Neodiprion lecontei: one gene and its partners. The protein of the gene in region 3 purifies or fractionates together with the protein of the main gene of each other region. This does not show direct contact. Links are inferred from orthologs where the notes say so. Each region holds a gene or a part of one and is shown on either strand. Other genes may lie near its edges.

Region 1 (9,642 bases), on a different chromosome or scaffold from region 3:
ATGATATAGCGATACCATTATTATTGCATTAAAGAGTACTTTCCGAAAATACCACTGTTGGATGAGAAATTCAGTATTACACCTCGAAAAACCTGCCAGTAGAATCGATACCGAATGTACTCTTACGGAAAAGGAAACATTCATTTCCATTTTTCTTGATATCAGAATGAGTGGACTATAGCAGTTTTTCCCCTGGACCCTTCAAATGTCTTACGACAAAAAACTCACTATTTTCAAATCCTCTTCGGCGGCTTCTAGTTTGTCTCGTTCGGCGTTTTGCGCCTCTTCTGCATTCTTCACGACAGTAGACTCCGCGTTTTCTGCTTCGTCTGAAAATCACGAACGTCAATAAATCGATGGAGCTTCAATTGACCGTAATAATTCCAATTCAAAATGAGGCTTACTCTGATCCTGTAATTTACCACGAAGATGTTGAATGAGTTTTTTATTCTCCGCAAATTGCTCTTTCACTCTTTCTTCGATATCACGAATTTTCGCTGCGATGTTGCCCTGTAATTTTGGAGTTGGGAATAATTTTTAGTCATCAATATCAGGGGTGTATTTCCAGAGTTTCATTATCAATTCGTGCACGGAATCAACACTTGATATTCACCTTATTTTGTTCTTTGCCGATTGGACGATCAAGAAATAGAAAGTAAGTTATGACACCCCATACGCAGAGAGATGCGAATATGAAGCTGATTGATTTTTTCCGCATGGCACCACCGAACGTCACCTCATCTGCGAATGTATTTCATTAACACATTATATATGTATATGTATAATTTGTGATGATGGATGTATCACTGTCGAGATATCAAAAGGTTATCAATTCTGTGATTAACTGTGACAAAAAAATCGAATGGAGGATAATGTGAATGTTAAATATTTCCGTGTTCATAGAGCATTATCATTCATTATCAGACTACATTCGGTTTGTGATGTTTATTCCCATTCAGTGATAAGAACTTATCCAATGCAGATACTCATCTCAAGCTTGTGAAATTATGACATAAAATATCATTCCTCCGGAAATTGTTAGGCTCGATTAAAATTTTGTTACGATCGATTTCACGTTTAGCAAATTCGCACACAATATCAGGTAAAAAATGCTCTCTGTCAAAAAGAATTTTTTAACTGTGTCCGGACAATTGTTATTGCTTATTACCTTTGGTGTTTACGTTTCAGATGTTTTTTCTTTTCAAATTTTTCTATCGGAGTAGCAGAAATTAAGGGACGAGTGACTTTCCAAAACTTTGAGGAAAATTCGTAATAGCGAAACCACGTCTACAGATACGTTATCCGAGAACAGCTCTTTGACGGCTTAGTGCCACGTTTATCTTCTCGACAAATGATTATTATTTGTACAAGTGCTAGGTAAACTAACCAATACATAGACTGGAATTAAGTCAAGATATATTTACCGTATTTCTGTATTCAGCTGACATTAATCGGCATTTAATACTGTCACAATATAAGCCAGTAATAATTATCCTAATAACGATTAATCTTCACATTATTTATCCCGTTTTTGTTCAGACACGACTGGTGAAGTACGTAACGCGTGTCGACGACAGCAGGCTGCAGCTTTGCTTAGCGCAATGTCAGGTTCTGTCATTACAGCATGTTGTCATTCGATGCTATGATTGCTCTCTCCTTTTCGCTTTGACTTCATTAGCCTCACTGACAAGCTCGAAGCTATCCAAAATACTTATTCGATTTTTTCCTCCCCAATTCTCGGCGAGAGATTAAGTTTGCTCAGTTTTTTTACCAGTAGTTTATTTTTCTTTCTCCTGCCTCCCGCCCCGCACCAACGCGACCGTGAATGATCAGTTTGTGTGGATGTTTATTTGCCCTTGTATGTGCATAATAAATGATTCGTTACTTGGTCACTGGACATTGAGAAGCGGATTATTCAGCATGAATGCAATGAGGGGAGAAATTGCCGACGGCAATTACTGATACAGGGTCTGTGAGTGCATATATGGTGCATATGGTGCGTTTAAGTTTAGAGAAGTGTGTTAGCCTATGCATGCATAACACACAAGCAGAGGTTCAGCGCATGCACAAGTATCGAACACCGAGTTACGACTTTTGATTATCTACGACCAGGCTGAAGTTATCGAGAGAGCTCAGCTCAGTCGGCCAAGAAGAGTGACTCATAATTCGAGAACTTTCCGCATGCGCTGCGTTCGACCTTGTTAGACAACATGGTGGAACGGATCACGCGATGACGTAGGTGAATGCAAATGAACATTTAGGCGAATATTCTTCCGAGTTAACGTAGTTGAGAACAGGTCGAAACCGCTGTGCTACAAATTGTCCGTTTGCGTTTTTATCCTGAGGTTTCGCGTTTATTTATAATGACGGTATGCAGTTCGCAGCCGATACAAAGAAAATTGAGTAATTATATAAGATCGATTGAAAATTTTGCGCCATCATTATCGTCATTATAATTGGGTAGCCACCAGAGTCGCGCAAGTTCGGCGTCTTGAACGATAAATACTGAATACAGAACACATAATAATTAGTGGGTAAAAGTGAATAACTGGAAGTCGAACGCGCGTCGAATAGTCCGATGACCGCAGTCACCCTCGATCGAAAACAACGAACGGCCAGCTCAACGCCAGCCGAGGATATCCCAAGCTCTCTGTCCCAAGGATAATCTAGTGATCTCAGATTCTCTGTAGCGAGCCGAGAGTCTTGAAGTTGGCTGCAGTGTGACTTAACCTGTCAGAAAACGGAGAAAAGCACGGAGCACACTCAGTATCATAACCGACTTGTTAACCCACACGTACTGCGTATTCGTTCAGACAGATATTCAATCCTCTTTCGTGTATACATATATAGTGGTTCAAATTCTCGTCCGTGCTTTCCAACCAGACGCACCAAATCCACGATATTTCGCTTTTCAACGCAAGGCTCACATATTGTTATGCGGTGGTGACTTAGCGCCAGGTGAGTAAACCTTCCTTGTCTCCGAGATAAGATTTCTAGTTTGAGAAAGAGAGGAAGAAAAAAAAATGTTGTTTCCTTCGTTTCAAATGGCATTGAGGAGAGACAATGGGACCTTTCGCGTAGGTTCTTACGTTTCGTTCTATCGACCGAATCCACTTCTTGCTTTGTATTTTTCGCAAAAATTTTACCAAGCGTAGTATCAATTTCTTAGTTCTTTTTGTTTTCTTCTTCACTTCTCGCATTATTCTTTCACCGTTTCTTTCTATCGCATAATCGGGTTACCCCAGTTACCATTTGCTCGCTAACGGAATTAACCCCCTTCTGTCACCATTGCTCTGCATTTTATGTTCGGATTCACATTTCCGTTAACGAGTTAATCCGCGTTTCGGTCACACTACAGTATCTTCTGGTAAATATTAGCAGAACCGTTGATTGGTCTGATAGTCTTCGAATTTTGGATTCCAATCTAAACATATAACTAGGCTTTTATTTGCTACACACAGCCGATTTGGAGCTGTAACATTTTTAAAAACGATTCTCAAACCTCTAAGACGTATATTTCAACAAAAATATTAACGAATGAATTACATGACAAGAAAGAACCCTCAAACAAAGAAGATTGTTTGAGATATTAAGATTGGCACAACAAAACTCTTCTCCCACATTTCACACGTCAATCGTATCTATGTATGCGCATCTTATCTGCGGATAACCAGTCCCTCGTTCATCTGGAATCTATTGTATTTATTTGAAACAGCGTGTTCAGAAATCTAGATAAGCCCTCTGCGGCTGGAATACATAATTTTACCACAAATAATAGCACCAACATAACATCTTTCTTTGTATTGCCGTGCGATTTTTATCTCCATCAAATTATTAGTATCGCCAGTCACAGTTGAGTATTACAAAAGAACGTGTGGCATTTCTTATTTCATTTCCAGAGTTATTCAAGTAGCAGGTAATTAGAGTGAGGCTGGTCAGACATTAATTTGGGAATAAAATGTCTGGACACAGAAGTACCGGTGGCACCGGAAGCCATCCTACTGGTCCTCAGGGTCTCAAGCAAATAGATCTCGACCAGATTTGGGGCGACCTGAGAGAAGGCATCGAGCAGGTTTACAACCGGCAATGCATGCCCAAGCCAAGATACATGGAGCTCTATACGTATCCTTAGATATCAACAATTGACTTGAAAGACATATTTCAAAATGTTTTTGACACTCAGCTTGTGATACCTAAAAAAGAATCTATCAAAAATTTTACATAATGTATTTTATGCTTAACTGTAAAACTGATGTGAAAAAACACAGACACGTGTATAACTATTGCACGAGTGTACATCAGCAGTTGAACAACAGGACGTCGATGAAAAGTAAGAAGGGTCAAATATCGGGCGGCGCTCAGTTAGTTGGGCTGGAATTGTACAAACGTTTGCGAGACTTTCTGCGGAATTATCTCATCAGTTTACTGAAGGTGCGAGACGCCGATTAGTTATCCTTATCCAGTTTTCTCTTGCTCTATTCTTGCGATATTCAATGCCTGATTTCAATCCTCGTTTAGCATGGAGTCGACCTGATGGATGAGGATGTGCTGAAGTTTTACACTCGACAATGGGACGAGTATCAATTCAGCAGCAAAGTCCTGAACGGGGTCTGTGCGTATTTAAACCGTCACTGGGTGAGGCGAGAGTGCGAGGAAGGTCGAAAAGGAATTTGTGAGATCTATCAGCTGGCGTTGGTCACATGGAGGGATAATTTATTCAAACATTTGAACAAGCAGGTAAAACAAATGAGGTGAATCAGCGTATTTTCGATGTCAAATTACCCACTTTTCTCCACTACTTATCAGGTAACCAACGCGGTGCTCAAACTTATAGAACGAGAGAGAAACGGTGAGACTATAAACACAAGTCTTGTCAGCGGAGTGATTAATTGCTATGTTGAGCTGGGTCTAAATGAGGAGGATCCGGGCGCCAAAGGGCAGAATTTGTCCGTCTACAAGGACTCGTTTGAGAATGTTTTTCTTGATGACACTGAACGCTTTTATACACGCGAAAGCACTGAATTCCTACGACATAATCCTGTCACAGAGTATATGAAGAAGGTGTTTGACGAACATATAGCGAAACTAACGCCAAGAAGAAGGAGTGGGATGTTCATACAAATATTTTCGTTTTTCACAGGCTGAGCAGAGGCTCCTGGAGGAAGAGAAAAGAGTCAGGGTGTATTTGCACCAGACGACACATGAGCGTCTAGCAAAAACCTGCGAAAAGGTCCTCATCGAGAAACATTTGGACATATTTCATGCAGAATTCCAAAATCTTTTGGACGCTGATAAAAATGTCGATTTGGGTCGAATGTACATGCTTGTCGCCAGGATACCGAATGGTCTTGGGGAGCTTCGCAATCTTCTCGAAAGTCACATAGCTAGTCAGGGATTAGCTGCTATCGACAAGTGCGGCGACTTTGCGGTTAACGTATGTAAATTTACCGATCAAACTTTAATAACTGCACGAAATTAGCCATCAAGTTTCGGGTCTTTCGATAGGAAAATGTTTGATGAACGAGTGTTGCTATTTGTCTCTTTCTTAGAAGCGACTTACGATTACCTGGATTTATATTGCAAGAAAGAAAAAGAAAACAAATATTGAGAGAATCATGAAACTGAGCTTATTAATCATTACTATGTACGGTTATGGAAATTATTTTTCAGAACTTTATACTTACCATGTTGTTAGTGCAGGATCCTAAAATATATGTGAGCACTATCTTGGAAGTTCACAAGAAGTATAATGCGCTGGTATTGGTTGCGTTTAATAATGATAGTGGATTTGTCGCTGCTCTGGACAAAGCTTGCGGACGGTTCATTAACAGCAACTCTATTACACGAGCTGCTAATAGCAGTAGCAAATCGCCAGAACTCTTGGCCAAGTACTGCGACCTTTTACTCAAGAAGAGCAGTAAGAATCCGGAAGAGGCAGAGCTCGAAGATACACTTAATCAAGTTGTAAGTTTTATCTAACTAATAGCAAAGTGTAACATCATCTAACTCGCGATCTTATCATCAAATGAAACAGCGAGGTTAAAATAATGTTCTTTCTTCGTGTAGATGGTAGTTTTCAAATATATCGAAGACAAAGATGTATTCCAAAAATTCTACAGTAAAATGCTTGCCAAACGGCTCGTGCAGCACATGTCTGCCAGCGACGACGCTGAAGCGTCAATGATTTCAAAGCTGAAACAAGCTTGCGGATTCGAATACACTTCTAAACTACAGCGCATGTTCCAGGTATCTATACGTAATCACGTTGACAGATTATATTCCACTTTTTACTATTTTACCTTGTTTTATTGAAAATTTATCGTCCTGTAGGATATCGGAGTGTCGAAAGACTTGAACGAACAATTTCGAAGGCATTTGATAAATTCTACGGAACTTCTGGACATCGATTTTAGTATACAGGTGCTGTCGTCCGGTTCCTGGCCGTTCCAGCAATCTTTTACATTTTCTCTACCCACAGAGGTACTAGTTCTTTTTGCATACTTAGGTAATAATGTACGTGTCCCGAACAATCTATGCAACGCATTTGGTTTTGTTTCGCAGCTGGAAAGATCTGTGCACAGGTTTACCACTTTCTATAGTTCTCAGCACAGTGGGAGAAAATTGAATTGGTTGTACAACATGTCCAAAGGGGAATTGCACACAAACTGTTTTAAGAACAGGTGAAAATTTATTGTTAATCTCTTGCATCGCTGGCTTTGTTTTTTCTTTTTCTTTTTTATAATAATTCTCAATCTCTGCTAATTTCGTTTTTTATTTACAGGTATACTCTGCAAGCTTCGACCTTCCAAATGGCGGTTCTATTGCAGTATAATGTGGCTACACTTTGGACCATGCAACAACTTCATGACGCAACGCAAATCAAAATGGATTTTCTTGTGCAGGTCCTTAACGTCATAGATTTTTTTAAATAAATTTCCTGACTTATCGTGCTTTGCTCCATCTTTTTAATTGCTTTATTTCTTATTTGTAACACAGGTTATACAGATTTTGTTGAAAGCGAAGCTTTTAACTGTCCCTGCACACGAAGATGAAACTAATTTAACTCCATCGTCAACCATCGAACTATTTGCAGCATATAAAAAGTGAGTGAATACATTTCTCCTTCACCTTATTGTCCAGAATTCGTAAATCTCGTACTTTTTCACATGTAAAACTTGAAGGCTTAGAACTCATTATTGACCAACTATCGAATAATTTTAATTGCAGCAAAAAATTAAGGGTAAATATCAACATACCAATGAAGACGGAATTGAAGGTTGAACAGGAAACGACCCACAAGCACATAGAAGAAGATCGCAAGCTGTTAATTCAAGCCGCGATTGTAAGAATTATGAAAATGCGTAAGATCCTAAAGCACCAGCAACTCGTCGCCGAAGTACTAAACCAGCTCAGTGCGAGATTCAAACCGAGGGTGCACGTTATTAAGGTGAGGGTTAAGTTGATTTCAAGGATTTGTAAATTTTCAATATACAATCTTCTTTGACGGATGTACACAGCTTATCATCTTCTCGCTCATTTCTTTGATTTCTCTCATTCGCAGAAATGTATAGACATTTTAATAGAAAAGGAATATCTAGAACGTACGGAAGGACAAAAGGATACGTACAGTTACCTGGCATGATCTGCCTAAGTGAGACAACAAAGTAGCAGCTGTTTAAAACAGGAGAAACAACTTCTGCCGTACGCATCTGTCATTGTTGCTGCTGCTGTTGTATCTACGTTACAATATTTATTATTTACGTCGCACACAAAGTTCTTGTATACAACATAAGCCCCCTCCCCTCCTTTCGGCCCTGTATGAAATAATTGTCCGACCGATCGCATTTAGCAAAAATGAAGAAAAAGAAGGAAGAGAGAAAAAAAGAAAGAAACATGGATTTTATAAAATATTATTAATAAATTTCTTTCATAGTTCAAATTTATTCGGTTATAAACGTAATTTGCAACTAATGACAGCCGGAGAACAAACCTTGTGGTTTAAAATTAAATGAACAATTTAAGTACCAATTATCGATTTGTATTGTTTATGGAAGAAGGAGCAAATGCAATTTTGCTTCTACGTTAAATTTTATGATTGTTTGCTCGTGTCGTAATCTTCGAGACACGCGTGATTTTTTTTCCTATGTATTCAGTATTTTTTTATATTTTATTAGATGCGTACACCTGTTAAATTAACTAGCTGAACAGACTCGAAACGCATCTTCTATCTATAGATAATTTTGATAAATACTTGCATCATATCGGGCACCTGTTTTTTTTCTCGTTTTGTTATCAAACAATCCTTGGTAATTTACGAACAACGTTTTTTATCACTGTTGTTGTAAATTGATTGTAAGCTCGCTGTGCGTTACCGGTTTTCTTTTTTTTTTTTTTTTTTTTTTTTTTCCCACCAAAAGGTAAACATGTGAACTTCTTTGGTTTGAGAAAACTTCATGGATCATATTCAAGATGAAGGATTACAGATATTTTCTTGGCATAATTGTAATTATTTTTTTTTCTGATTTTTATTCTACTTTGTTCTTGATTGATCGATAATTACGTAATGTTAATAAAATATTTTATTGTAGTGTATTCGAATTTTAATAGCCACAAATCCTCCTGTTGTTATTGTGATTTTTTTTTTTCTAATCTTCTAGGGTTGCGCAAAGAAATTTATCTTTATTTTGCGATGGTTTTTCTTTCGTTTCATTATGATCATCGTGTAATGCTTAAGGACCGTAATAAGATTTTTGTGAGGAAGTTGTTGGATTGTAATCGAATTTCGCCTGTTCTGGGGAAATGGAAAGTATTGCAAAATCCAAATGGAAGTCATGCGAGATACGATTTAGAGACGTTTTATCAGATTCTAAACAAGACGGCGATGAAACAGAAAGAGAGAAGAAAGAAAGAAATGTCCTTAGCAAATAAATAAATAAGTACGCACTGATGTTTTATCGTAATTTGCAACCATAATTAAACGATACGCGGTAGTTAGATTCAATTTTTAGGATGATATGTAAGTAGGTAACATAGCAGGTACAATTTGGGTCGTCAATGAAATAATATTTGATTTGATCTAGTTAAATTAGTAAGGATATTCTCAATTGTTTAACCATACTTGAACGTGAGATAACTGAAAATTGAGGAATGTAAAAATGAATGGTGTGTACACAGCACTAAGTCCATGGGATTAGTTAATACTGCGATGCGCCGTATTATTTAAACTGACAAAACACAGGGGTAAAGAAAACAATAGAATTCTACGTACAAAATATATTTTATTTTATTGAAAAGCTGAAAAATTATATTTGGAATATGTGGCTAAAAGTCGGGAGGCATAAGATGTAAGATGAAAAACGAGGGTAAGAAGTATAAAAAAAGCATTGAATATTTTAATAATCGATGACAGCAATTTAGAAGGTAAAATTATAGAAGTATGCGTGATTTCATTTGCGATGAAAACATGAAGTGGATGTTAAAATGGGTTTTTCCTTTTCGTTTTTTTTTTTTTGCAATAATAATCGAATGATACATCAACATCACCGCAAAATCTATTCATAAATATACTATAAGCTCACAACAATGTGTATTTTATGCTTTCGGTATTTATTAGCCTACTATGAAACTACCATAATATTAATT
Region 2 (6,658 bases), on a different chromosome or scaffold from region 3:
GAGAAACGTGCAAATTACACCTCAAAAATAAATATTCAGTAAAAAAAAAGAAAAAAAAAAAAGAACATATACTCGCCAAAAATTTCCCAATGTCCCAGAACGTAAAATTTTCCTACTATCGCGTTTTCCTTGGACATACATACGGAACGTAGAGTCCGAAGCAAGGAACTTGACTTTACAAATGAATGAGATAAAATTTTTTTACAAATTTTTTGAGGAACAAAACCGTCTGATCTTTTATAGTAATTTTTTTTGATATCGGATGAAATCTCTCGATATCGGTTCGACAAATAGAGTAAGAAACATGTGTATTTCAAAAAACATCTGAAAATAATTACTTACCATGTTGTTTCCCCACAGAATATTCGAGATTTTATGTCAAATTACAAAAGTGGGTACAAAATTTGTTCCTTGAAAAAAATTAGAAGTAAGCAGTAACCAAAAAAAAAAAATTCTGAAAAAAAACACGAGTACATTTTGTAGCCAACGGCACCGCGACGTAAAAGAAATATCCTGGATACATAGAACCAAACGTTGGACAAATTATTATGAAATGCCGGATATGTTGTACAGATACGCAATGACTTATTATACAATTTCCAACACACTTGGAGACGCTCCGCAACTGTGCGAAAAAGGTTTGTAAAGTATCGTAACCATACAAATGCTTACCGCATACCTCTTCACTCGAGGACCAAATAAAAGCCTAACTCCGTCCATTAATATTCAACTCAGACTTGACTCCGAAGCTAAGACCGCGAAACCGTTCTGCGCCTACAATCAGGCATTTCTGTACTGTTATACCTGGGATATCACCATATTACGTTTAATCACAGGGACTAAGTTACGCGGATTATACATGTATGAAGGTTGCATCCCAAATTCAGAACCAACTGTACCGAGAGAAATTTTTAGTTCCGTTTACCGCTCAGTCCTAAACTATTTTCATTTTTTACCACAATCGAAAAATATAGTAGCAAAACTTTGCAGGATCACAAAACAGCAAACAATCAACGAGCTGGACTCAGTGAATCAAAAGTTGGTAAGCGTAAAAAAAAAATATCCAACAATATTAATGAATCCGAGCAATTTCCAATATAGCAAAGCAAAATTAGCTGTTTGAGAAAAGGTTTCATAACGTTAACGTTCAAACTGATTCAACTCTGGTATTTTTTATCCGATTTTAATAGTTCCGGGCTAAATTTTTCAATCATAGCGATGTCCAAAAATCACCTAAAATCAAAAAACAAAATACTTATCTCCAAACTGGATGAAAATAAATTTGTACAAACTGTATATTCCGACAGATGTTTGTCAACTATTACATTTACCCGTACAACATGTTACAATGCAATATTTGTCCAAAAAATTTCAGACAATTCGTGATGTCTTCCAGTGAAATGAGTCCGAAAACGCTAGAATCGAATCAACAACAGGAAAACTCGTTAGTTCGCGCCTTCAGGAATGTCTTGAATTTAGTAAACTACGATAAACATAACACTTATTTTGAAAAGCCGACTCCTTGAGACTCGTTCTAAAATTCCGCAATAATGACTTTTTCCCGGATGTTCCGTTACATTAACGTTGCTAACTTCAGTCTCATTGTTCGAATTCGCTTATATTCATTTCTATTGCATAAGAGGGTTGTTGTTTCATTCGTCATCATTATCAGTGGCGCAAATAACATTACTGAACATTTTTTAAGCGGTTCTCTTCTCCCTGAACTTTCAGACTCTTAATTGCTAATACGTAACAAACAACAAAAAAAGAAACCAACAGAATTAAGCAGCTGGTCTAATTTTCGCTTCAAACAATTACTGTCACGAAACTGCATGGTCGTATATCTTTGCGAGAGACAAAGAAGGACGAAACACGCAAGCAGGTCGGCTATGCGAGTAAATATACGTACAAATAATTCTCAGAACACGATCTAGGACAGTGAGCATTTAGTAAAAGAATCCGTTTAGGAATTCCGTGGAATATGTAAATAATTAAAATGATTATGCAATTTTACTCCGCAGTATTGGAAATGTTTCTGAACACGATTTATATACCAGTAAAAATAACACATGAAATTGAACCACGCAAGGTTAACGCGTGAAGAAATATTTAACAGGATAAAATCGCTTTTGAGGCCTTCCCAATAAAAACATTTATTCCGAACGAAAAGTTGACAAATTTTCCGTAAGGATCCTAAATTTTCAAATACATATAACCGTACCACAGAATCATGTTTGATCTAATGTCACGCATAACAAGATCTAAGCAAGATGAGGCAAAAGTTATCAGGACAATCACGTGTATGATGAAATGGTTTTCGTTTAGTTCCGCAGCTGTGAAGAAGGAGGAGGAGGAGGGCAAGGAGAGAAGTTACATCGACCTTTCACGCCTCGTCACAGTTCACGTTACGCGAAGGTGAATAAATGATTTTAATTAAATGTAACGACATCTGAAAGCGTGCATGCTTCTTGCTCGACGATTATTATCACGAACACCATTCATGATTCAGTGTCGTACGCTGCAAGTACCTATTGTACTGATTCCGAATGACAATGTCGAAGCTCGACGTGAAAAGACAGAGGATTGTGCGTATTTATTATTAAGGCGATACTACACTTGGGTATTACGCTTGAACGGAACACGGTTGAATAGAATTTATTTTTACCATCCAACAATTTGTATAAGACAGATTGTTAAAGTCAGACATTTAAAGCTCGCTGCAGCTTGTCGAACGACGAGTGGCGAGCTTCGGTACAGAAGCTTCCTACCATTACCGACTCGATCAACATTTTCATCCTGTAAACGAGTCGGTAGGTGTAGGACACTGTTATTACCTCCGCGCCATTTCGCCTACTTCAAAATAAATACTCATAACTCGCAGTCTCCATCGATCTTTATTCTTTATCTTTATCTTTAGACATTGAAGGTGAATGAACAGTTGTAGGAAAAAGAGATAAAGTCATCCGAAGAATCTTCAGGAACGTTATTTGCACGGATGACAGAGAACAAAAACGATACGACATCCCTACTATATGAGGGAAATGAATCTGAACACATGAATAGCGCAAGCCAAGATACCATCAATTGGAGAAAAGGATTTATCAATATGATTCTTATGTTTTTAAGTTTATTTTATTCATCTTCAGAGCTCGCTTGGATGAAATTTTACAAATAGTTACCTCCAAAGTGGTTAAAATTGAATTATCAGCACGGTATAACAGATATGTATTCGAAAACAATAATATTTTGTCGTTATGACTATGATACAATGTGAAATTTATGAAAAAAGTCTTCAGAGTCAAAAAATATTGGAAAGGGATTTGAAAAAAAAAAAAAAAACACCATAATTCAATTATTTTGAAACCTTTTCGTGCCCACTTTCAGGTATTGGCGAAAAATAAGACTGCCGGTGATTTTTCAAACTGTTCTTTTTCTCTTCCCAACTTTTGATTCAGACAATCTAGTCGAATGATCGTTGAGCGAGCCGCCGTCAAGGCGACTCCGATACGAGTCGGTGGAATCTGATAATCCAACTAAACGGCGTAATGCTGACGCGGTGCGTTGAGCTGCCGGGATTCTCTCGGAAAGGAGAAAGACTCTGAAGCGCACGCGGCCTATGCTGCAACCGCCGCGTGGAGGGAGAAGAATAACAAGTATTTTCGATTTGGAAATTAACACGTGAGCGACCGGCGAACCAATATCCGACTGACTGACTGACTGACTGACTAATTGACAAACTCACCTCTCCGCCGGGGGCCGAGACGTTCATCCAGCCAGAGGCGGCATCCCAAATGCCATCGGTTTTGAGTAATCCAACTGTACACAACAATAATCGTGCATACGCGTACCGGTCGGTACGCGCGCGACAGATGATCGCGGCGGTAAACTCAACACTCGTGCGTTTCTTACGTACACACAGCACACCGCGGGAAACGAGAAAGAAAGAGAGCGAGAGAGAGAGAGAGAAAGAGAGAGAGAGAGAAGGAAAGAGAGAGAGAGAGGGGGATAGAGAAAGAGAGAGAGATAGAAAGATAGAAAAAGTGAGAGAAACTCGTAAACGACGTCTATCTCGAGTATCTATCTATCTATCTATCTATCTTATCGACTGTGCTCGTAGAATCGCGGGCACTCACTCGACTTCCGATGCACTTACGGGCAGAACACGCTTCCGCGACTATAATTTGCCGCCGAAATAATTGTTCACATTCTGGGATACGCATTCACCATTCTCACTGCACCACCTCGAGCACCAGTTTATCACCAACCCCGTTTAGCGGCTCGCTGACGAATGCCAAGTGCAAAGACGCCGCAAGCGTGCACAGAGATCGCTGCTCTGAACTGACTTGCGACAAAAACCGACCAGCGGTACCGGCAGTCGGCGGGTGACTGTTGGCATTCGGCACACGCCGATTCCTCCAGGTTCGGGCTCGCCAGTCGCCGCGAGGTGCGCGCCTAACTAACCTAACCTCGGCGGTCAAGCGCCCCCTTCGTCAGCGCCGCCGCGCGACCGATCCGCCAACTAATTTCATTCTCCCATGCATACCTGTTAGGCATTCTCTTCGCATCGAGAGGAACCACGGTATCGTGCTACACGATATTGAGGGAAAAAAAAAAATTAACAAGCGGTGGAAACTAGGAGTAAGCGAACAAGTCAAAATCATTGATCGAATATTTTGAATTCTACGTGCGATTCGAATTTTTCGAATTATTTAGGTCAATTTGAATCATTCGATTTTCATTTCGTACTGGGTACCTTAACTAATGATGGAAGAATAGCGATTGACCTACTCCTGCTAGCTATTGTCGAGTATAGTGTGAAATGGCACTAACAATAAGCCGTACCTAAGGGCACTAAATTGTCAAACTACCGAATAATTTGAACTATTATTCTAGTTGTTCGAATATTTGGATTCGATTGTCATCTCTTTGACCACTATTCGGACACTCCTGTGATAAAAACAGTGTTTTTCATTAATTTTTTTTTTTTTTTCACGAGGCAACAATTCGATCAGGTACTGGGTACTAGGTACTATTCGATTAGGTAAGTAACAGTTTATCTGTTAATTTAGTCGGACTCTGCGTCCCAGAAATTGAAATCAACGAAAATAAATCCGTGTCACAAAATGTTGAATTAATTGTTATTCATTATTCGAGTCTAACAAGAGATGAGTCGAATGTTTTCAGCGTGATATTTGAAACTTGAAATTACCCAAAAACTTGTACGAAGGGTGCGACAAGACTAATTGACAAACTGTACAATCAAGTACACACGTTAAATACCATCAAGCATATGGTTTGTTTTATTTGGTTTAGTAGCTAATAAATCCCATACTTTTAAATAAAAAGGGCATAGCCGGATAAGCAGGTCGAATCGGCCCCCGCTGAATTTTTTATCGGTACTTCAGGGATCAATTTGGACCCAAATGAAAATAATTCAGTGAAAATTTCAGCTATTAATCTTAAATTTTTTTTTTAATAGTAAAATTAAAAATTTTTTTTTGCTGATTTTTTTTTAAATACTTACGAGTAAAAGCTGTGAAAAAATTTTTTTTCTGATTTCTAGACTAATAGCCGATTTTTAAACTAAAAAACAAAATTACAATTATTTTTTTTTATGCCTATTTTAAAACATGCAATCACCAAATTTGGACAGAATACGTCTTTTATACCCCTCTGTACTCAGGAATTTTTTTAATTTTTTCGTCGCATTTTCAATAATACCGGGCGCTGTGTAGTTATTAATGAAGACAGTGATGAAGATTGACGAAAATATTAACAAATATTTTGATGACCACTTACGTTTTTGATGAATATTTTTATGAATAAATACATTTTATAATTAGTTGTAAGTAGTGTTCTAAGCAGTTGAAATATAAAATAATTAACAAAAAATTGGTTTTTAATTTTTTTCATGACGTTGCACCAAACCAAAAAAATTTTTAAAATTCCTGAGTACAGAGGGGTATAAAAGACGTATTCTGTCCAAATTTGGTGATTGCATGTTTTAAAATAGGCATAAAAAAAAATAATTGTAATTTTGTTTTTTAGTTTAAAAATCGGCTATTAGTCTAGAAATCAGAAAAAAAAATTTTTTCACAGCTTTTACTCGTAAGTATTTAAAAAAAAATCAGCAAAAAAAAATTTTTAATTTTACTATTAAAAAAAAAATAAATACTAAAAAATAGGTTTTTTTTCAATTACTCGGAAACCGTTTAAGATTAATAGCTGAAATTTTCACTGAATTATTTTCATTTGGGTCCAAATTGATCCCTGAAGTACCGACAAAAAATTCAGCGGGGGCCGATTCGACCTGCTTATCCGGCTATGCCCTTTATTTCCTACACGACTTCACCTTCGGTGATGTTATAGGGTGCAACTAAACCACATATACATATCGAATCCTCTTGTCATTAAACTTCCGTTTCTTCGTGAAAATAATGATCTTCTCGTTCCTCAGCTTAATGTTTAATCGTTTTCTTATATCACCATCATACGAGGTGATGAAAAATAAACACAGTGAACAATAACAATGATGCAAGAATTTTGTTTGGATACGCACCTGCATGATGGAGAATTCCGACAACAGTTTCGTGTTTTACGAAACTTTGTCATGACAGAAGCAACCAAGTTTTTCTTGTGGTATCAGCACAATTTTTGC
Region 3 (6,673 bases):
TTCAGATTTTGTAAATTAAGCTTCTTCAAATCCGTGCTAAATTTTCAAAACAATCGTTTCAGTTTCGATAATTCCCTACATCAACGTTAGGTACTAAACTTCAATCTGGTATCAATTCTCTCTAAATACCGGAGCAAGATCAGAGAGATCCGAATTTCGATACATGCAGGTTCAAGCTTCTTTTACACGCGTTGTTCAATAACCTCGCGTACTTAACCGGAAATCGGAAGTAACCAAAGACCCGTGATGCGGATGTGTGAGTTCAAGGCTTCCTCCGTACCTACATATTCACGTATCAATATTTTGTACACAATCATTATTTTCGATGCGTCGTGTCCCTGAAGCGCGTAATTCGCAACCATGAAAGGACGGGTTTATACCTACGTAACCCAGTGTATGGATAAGAAAAAAAAAGAAAAAATAAAAAGAAAAAAATTTCCGCAGGACCTTCACCAATCAGAGTTGTACATGTATGGTAAAAAGGTGAAAAAAAAAAAGAACCACCGGGATGAATAGGTGAGCAGTCAGCACCACCTTACGTGTCCTTCGCTTGACCATCTCCGGGCTTAATAATCCGTCGCTTTCGGGTGTAGGTACCGCGATTCAATCGCAACCTTGAGAGTTCGTCAAAAGTTTCTAGGTATACTGTTCCTGAGCAACGTGTATACCGGATCGTAACACAAAGTGATAGGATTTACGCGTGAGCCGAATTCTCAATCTCATTATATGTACAATATGTACATACGCTCTTTTGTATACGAAGTTTGGTCACTGTTTCGTTATACTTTGGTTTTAATTATCTTTTGTCGTACAAAGCTTCGTCATTCTTTTATTTTTTTCTTAGTGATTATTATTTCGTAAGTACGGATCGTATTTGTCAATGCCCGATCAAAACCGAGCCTAGATTGAGAAAATCGAGTTTTGTGCTGCGGTTGGTCGAAAACATGAATCGGAATCGACTCTCTCTCATTTGCTGGAACGAAATTAATCGGCTATACCTATCCGTGACTGCTGCAACTAATGCTACATAACGATTAGGTTGGATTTCGTGGCTGCGGTAAGAATCGTCCGTATAATATTCTTTTTCTTTTTCCTATTCTTACTGTAATCTTTGTTTTCGATCTTCTAGTTATCGATCCACGTTAATTAAAGCAAGTCAAGTACACGGAAGACAGAAGCTTGTCAAGGCCTGCGGAAAATTTTCAAACAAAACAATATATATATGTTAAGGAAGGTCCATAATTAATCAACAGGGAAAACTACGAACTCTGTAGCCCGCCAACGCAAAGCAGACCTGATTCTGTTTCGTGGAACAAATTTCGCGGCACTGGCCGTCTAACGTGACGAAGAATTAATTACACGTTGTACAAATTATACACCCGCGTGGCGTAATACACATACGTATTATGCGAACACAGGCTTTACGACGTAGGAGGGAAATTAATGAATTAATTAATCAAGTAATTGTACCTGCAACACTTTGACACGTACCGTACATAATACACATCCTAAGGTGAGAGTAATCGTGCCGGCTTTAGCAACCAGGGCAATGCTTTCTGAATTCAATCGATTTGAACTTGATTGAAACACACCCGGCATCCCTTTGCGATGCGATAAAAAAAATTGAAGAAAGATAAACGTCGCTGCGGTTAGCAACGTTACCGTATCGGAAGATTGAAACAAAAATTACCATTTTGCACCTTAAGAATAACTGGAGAAGTTGAATTTACAAAATCAGAGTTCGTTCATGCTTTATCAACAGTTGCTTAAATATCAAGTCATCCTAAAGTTGCAAAATAACGACTTTTTCTAAAGACACAACATTGCAATAACTTTACAAACTTCAGCCAGATAGAAATGAAACGACCGTCGATTCAATCAAAAATCTCTTAAACTCCACCGCGATTTTACCTTTGTTATTTTGATATTGAGACTCTCATTGTTATATCACGTACGTTGATCAGGGTTCGCTCGACGGATCGGGTGTCGAATTTCTGGCCTACTTACGCCCCTGTGTACGCATATCATACACACGTACTTGCAAGGGTGTGAGGGCCGTGGCACGGCATGACGTACATACACCGACAAACAGTGGAACTGACTGACTGCCGAGAGGGTGGCTCGGGTTGGGTCGTGAAAGGGGGGGGACTAAAACATTGATTATGTAGTAACCCGCTCTCGGGGGCTGTGGCGACGCTTTGCAGGAGAAAGGAAGAAAGAGGGGGTGGATTCGATCAACGGCACAGAAGGGATGGGGGAGGGGATTTTTCGCCCCGGTTGCGTATTCACCTTTGACCCTCTTCTCGGAGCAAGCCAGCGCAACGTTGGCAACGAAACGAAACGGGACGGAGAACCTCGTTCTTCCTCTTCCTCTTCTTTTCCTTTGTTTCAAGAAGCGGAGGGAAAAGGAGGGAAAGGGAGAGAAAGCGAATACGCACACAGGTATAAGAGACATGTAAACTGTACGGTATAACGGTGACGCGTCGAGGAGACCGTAATACATTGTGTTTGTACATACGTCTATGTAGCGTATTACGTACATATGTATAAATATACGCCTAACCGACACGGGGGCCAAACGATACACAGTTTCGTGTTATGCGGAGACCCCGCGCCCTTTGACCCCTGTGCTTTCTCATCGCTGGTGCTCACCTCCCCCATTGAACGCTGAATTTGTACAGTTACTTGTTCGAGGTACTTCCGAAATGCGACATTCTCACGGATTGAAACCTTTGTGACTTTTGTAGAGTTTGTGAAGAAAAATAACTGGACGGAAATTACTGATGAATGTGTTTCTTTGTTTTTAGAATATTGCAGAGGTTTACTGACGATTAAATTCATTTTCTATGCAGTAATCAACAAAGGTCGTTGATTCTTTGTTTTTGACTTACGCTTGAATCGGAAATAATCTGTACGGAAGGAAAATGGCGAAAACATTTATTATTTTTCTTGTGGTACTTTATTACGATGATTTTCGACTTGTTGAGAGAAAAATATTTAAATCGTAACGGTATTTCGTCGGATGTAGTTCAGAATGAATTGTTGATGAAAATATTCGTCCTACAAAGAAAGTGAAAAGTAATATCAACAACTAATTAATTATCTCCTAAAGTACGTAATAATTTGCGCGGGTCGTCGAAAGAATAGATTAATTATTATCATTGCCATATTCTTCTGTACAACATGAAAAACATTGTTATTATTTTTTTTCGTGTTATTTGATTAACCAATTTTGATATTCACGGAAGAAACGTCAAATAGTGATATTTCGGAAAATAGGGTATCTAAGTTTACGAATTGGTACCTCAAATATTATTTTGAACATATTTTCATTCACGGCAAGAAAAATAAAATATGCCTTTAAGAATGTTCTTTTCTTCGTTACTTTGGTCGGTTTGTTCTGTATTTTTAACGAGTCCACTCCGCTTGGATTAGTACTGATATTGGTTTATGCGTCCTATGTGGGGATAGAAATGACCAAGTGTGTGTGTGTGTGTGTGTGTGACTGTGTGTTTGTGTGCACGTCTTGTATGCACGATAGCTGAGGGAAATTGACGATGATGCATCCCGTTGAATCGGAGCGACGTCTCATAACCTCCGGAACTGATTATTTGATAGGACGAGCGGTTAACGCGGGGGAAAAAATAGTTAGGTTAAATATAGCGAAACGCTGTGTAAAATGGTGTGAAAATAGTGAGGGGGAGGCAGGTTTCGGTTTCCTATTCCCTCCGCGGTTAAGAAACATAAGATGGCCGTTTGTTTCGGGAGGAAAATACGGGTCGGTTGATACGCACCTGACTATACGTGTTCGGGTCCTCGATTACTTTGTCTGTTTCCATGTTAATCATTATCGGTTCACACTGTATCCTCGATAAACTAATTACCTATAACTCACGATTTAACATTGAACGGATTCAATACGGCTCTGCGAACGTTTAACACCCACTCGACAACACTCTTGGACTACTCGCAGCCGCGGACAACGCTGCTCGGGTGTTCGCCATGCACAGGAAGTCGATGTACGGAATTTTACCAACATAACAAATCGCAAATAACTATGCACCGTATCGCGGCTACGTGGACTCGGACTTCTTTGTTGGCTGCAGCGCTGAATTCCTTGGTTATTTACCAAATAGCTAGTACTAATTATCCACACTCGATCATAGATGGCGACTCGAACTTGTATTACATGCTGGCACTCTGGGAGTCTCTCGTGAGCATTGTTCGCGAGCGGCCGATGAAGAAGTTACCGGATCGCTGACACGGCTTCGTACGGCGGCAAGACCACTTACCTACCGAGTAATCGTCACGAAAATTTTCCAAGGGTTAAATTCTTCCGTTAACAATTGTATACATACATATTTGTTGTTTTGCTTTACCAATAACAAAGGGGGCCTTTTCTTTTACATCAATTTCCTGACACAGATCGACAATAAGTGATATCATCGATCGGATTTAATAGAATAGGCCAATGAAATCACTTGGTATCGTTTTGTGTTAAAAAATTAACGCAGAAGCAAAGCGCCCATTATTTTAGAATTAGTTTAAATCTTATGTTCGTACATTCAGAAAAGAGAATGTTTTGCGATTTCTTCTCCTCATTATAAATGTATTTTCACACATATTCTGTTCGGTCGAAAGTCGTCATCAAATCCAAGTTTACGTCTGACTCCGTGTGATACGAAAATTCTCTTAAAATCCGATCGCTCTGTGCCAATCGGTGCCAGTCGTATCCGAGCAGCCGGAGTGAAACCACGCGCGCGATCAGTTCGGAATTTAAATCACGCCGTTCAGGCAAACTTGATCATGTTATTTGGTCAGTGTGTTCCCACCAAACTTATTTGTGAATAATACACGAATGGCAGCGTCTGGCTCGAAGAAAAAATGAGTTAATTGAATGAAAACAGCCTATGAACATTGTACGTGAGTTTTGTGCGTGGTGCGCTTTGTGTATCGACTTTCCATTGTTTTGTGCAACTTCAGCTTCTAGCGATCGTCATTTTTTTTTGTTTGTTTGCTGATGACCGGTAAATGCGTAGTTTTGTATTGTTACCGAGTTTATCCTGTCGGTTGAGGCAACCAACGAACATACGTACTACAGTACAGAAAGTGAGAATGATCAAGTGTTGTTACGGGGTGGATTCGTGATTTATATAACTTTCCAAAGTTTTCTAGATACGTTATTGGACAGATTGAGAGTGCTTTCGTGCAGACTTTTGACAAGTCACAAGCGTTTTCTGACGAGACAAGGCTACGATAATCTCCCGTTGCGGTAATTTTTCCCATGTTCTGATAAAACGGACGTTGCGAAACGTGGCTGTCGAGATCGTTTCTCGGATTTCGGATCGCGGATCGCGTATCATGTTGAAGTTAGTAACGTTACCGGTAAGCATTCGTGGTGCGGAAATTCCGTTATTCTGAGATTTTGGAAGTGCTTGAAATTCAGTGAACCGTAATGAAATAAAAAATACCAACATTTTGCAATCTCACTTCCTTCAAACTCATTATAAAAATAAGAAAAAAGTGATTTTTTCCCAATGTTTCGTTACGATAACGTTAGTAACGTCAACCTTTTACGTTTATAAAATGTAATTGTAACGCGTTTATTAGTGCGTAGGTCGTACTGCCGTTGTTTTTTGTGCATAAAAAACTAAAATTCGGAACTTTAGCGAATGGAAATACTGCTACAATGTGTAGCGCGGCGGCTCGTGTTTATCGGTGAGTATTTTTACCCATTACGAGTCACCGATTCCATCTTTATCCGATTGTTTTCCTGGAGTCCGACGATACTGTAATCCTTTATTACCATGTAAAAATTTGATTAACCTTCTATTATCATTCGTTTCTGCAGTTCAGTTATTATCAAATCACAAACCACCGAAATATAATCGTGGAAAACAAAATTGTTTTAACAGACAGTATTTAGTGATACGAAATATGATTTAGCTTTATTGTGTGAGTAATAATCGGTTACATTTTGATTGCAGTGTCAAAAGTGCGTCGCTTGACGATTCAACTACGAGAACTCCTACATGCAGTAAAGTGAGGAGCAACCCAGAGGAGGTAAGGATTAACTTATCTTAATAATTGCTTAATAATTAAATGTGGTATGTTTGGAACCGAATTTCTGTCCCTGTTTAACATGCAGTGAATATATATGGAAGTAGACAACAAAAATATAAATAATTTCAGAACCGAAAATCCAGTCTGCTTGAATTAATTCGAGTTTTCTTATTTGTTTCTTTCCAGAGCTGGGCAGAGACATCCGAGTAACTTCTCCAATATTCGGCAACGTTGGTGAGTTTGCACGTGTTAGGTTACGGGTATTTCCCTGGAACTCCTATGTCTGTTACGTGGCGTGGCGGTAAAAATTGCTACACAATCTTCGATTTCTTAGCTGCATGGATAGGCTCATTCGCGATCGCAACGGTGCTTGACTTTCATTGTCAGTCGAATGATTTTTTTGCAATTTATCTATTTTACCATGGGTTAGTCGAAGTTAGAAATTTTGCACGTTGTTGAAAGTGGAATGAGCACCGCGACAGGTAACCATCACTTACTCGGCATTCGCGAGAACGAATTTTGTTTAGCTATACTGATATAATAATCTACGTTTGAATTTACAAATGCCGTCGTTTAAGCGGTGGATTTATCTGAGGTTCAATTATATAAA

What was found.
Region 1: the proteins of beta-TrCP (region 3) and cullin-1 purify together in Drosophila melanogaster (affinity purification with western blotting; 4 studies listed by BioGRID, with this or other methods). This does not show direct contact. The link is inferred for Neodiprion lecontei from reciprocal best matches to the Drosophila melanogaster genes slmb and Cul1.
Region 2: the proteins of beta-TrCP (region 3) and protein expanded-like purify together in Drosophila melanogaster (affinity purification with western blotting; 4 studies listed by BioGRID, with this or other methods). This does not show direct contact. The link is inferred for Neodiprion lecontei from reciprocal best matches to the Drosophila melanogaster genes slmb and ex.

Annotation. Positions count from the first base shown.
Region 1 is NC_060263.1:15,794,239-15,803,880, reverse strand, and holds cullin-1, read left to right. Parts: upstream 1-2,271; 5' UTR 2,272-2,958; intron 2,959-3,119; exon of another isoform or gene 3,120-3,367; intron 3,368-3,899; 5' UTR 3,900-3,958; coding exon 3,959-4,122; intron 4,123-4,268; coding exon 4,269-4,431; intron 4,432-4,518; coding exon 4,519-4,737; intron 4,738-4,806; coding exon 4,807-5,061; intron 5,062-5,140; coding exon 5,141-5,434; intron 5,435-5,670; coding exon 5,671-5,964; intron 5,965-6,066; coding exon 6,067-6,246; intron 6,247-6,330; coding exon 6,331-6,480; intron 6,481-6,561; coding exon 6,562-6,680; intron 6,681-6,781; coding exon 6,782-6,902; intron 6,903-6,996; coding exon 6,997-7,103; intron 7,104-7,227; coding exon 7,228-7,447; intron 7,448-7,561; coding exon 7,562-7,642; 3' UTR 7,643-7,943; downstream 7,944-9,642. Other genes in the region: alpha-1,3-mannosyl-glycoprotein 2-beta-N-acetylglucosaminyltransferase, read right to left, coding at 229-329, 405-510, 614-718. UniProt on the Drosophila melanogaster protein: Core component of multiple SCF (SKP1-CUL1-F-box protein) E3 ubiquitin-protein ligase complexes which mediate the ubiquitination of proteins involved in cell cycle progression, signal transduction and transcription.
Region 2 is NC_060262.1:19,124,253-19,130,910, reverse strand, and holds the start of protein expanded-like, read right to left. Parts: upstream 4,372-6,658; 5' UTR 3,770-4,371; coding exon of another isoform or gene 3,743-3,769; intron 1-3,742. UniProt on the Drosophila melanogaster protein: Activates the Hippo/SWH (Sav/Wts/Hpo) signaling pathway, a signaling pathway that plays a pivotal role in organ size control and tumor suppression by restricting proliferation and promoting apoptosis.
Region 3 is NC_060265.1:30,824,104-30,830,776, reverse strand, and holds the start of beta-TrCP, read right to left. Parts: upstream 4,016-6,673; 5' UTR 3,849-4,015; coding exon 3,795-3,848; intron 1-3,794. Other genes in the region: acylpyruvase FAHD1, mitochondrial, read left to right, coding at 5,690-5,718, 5,988-6,063.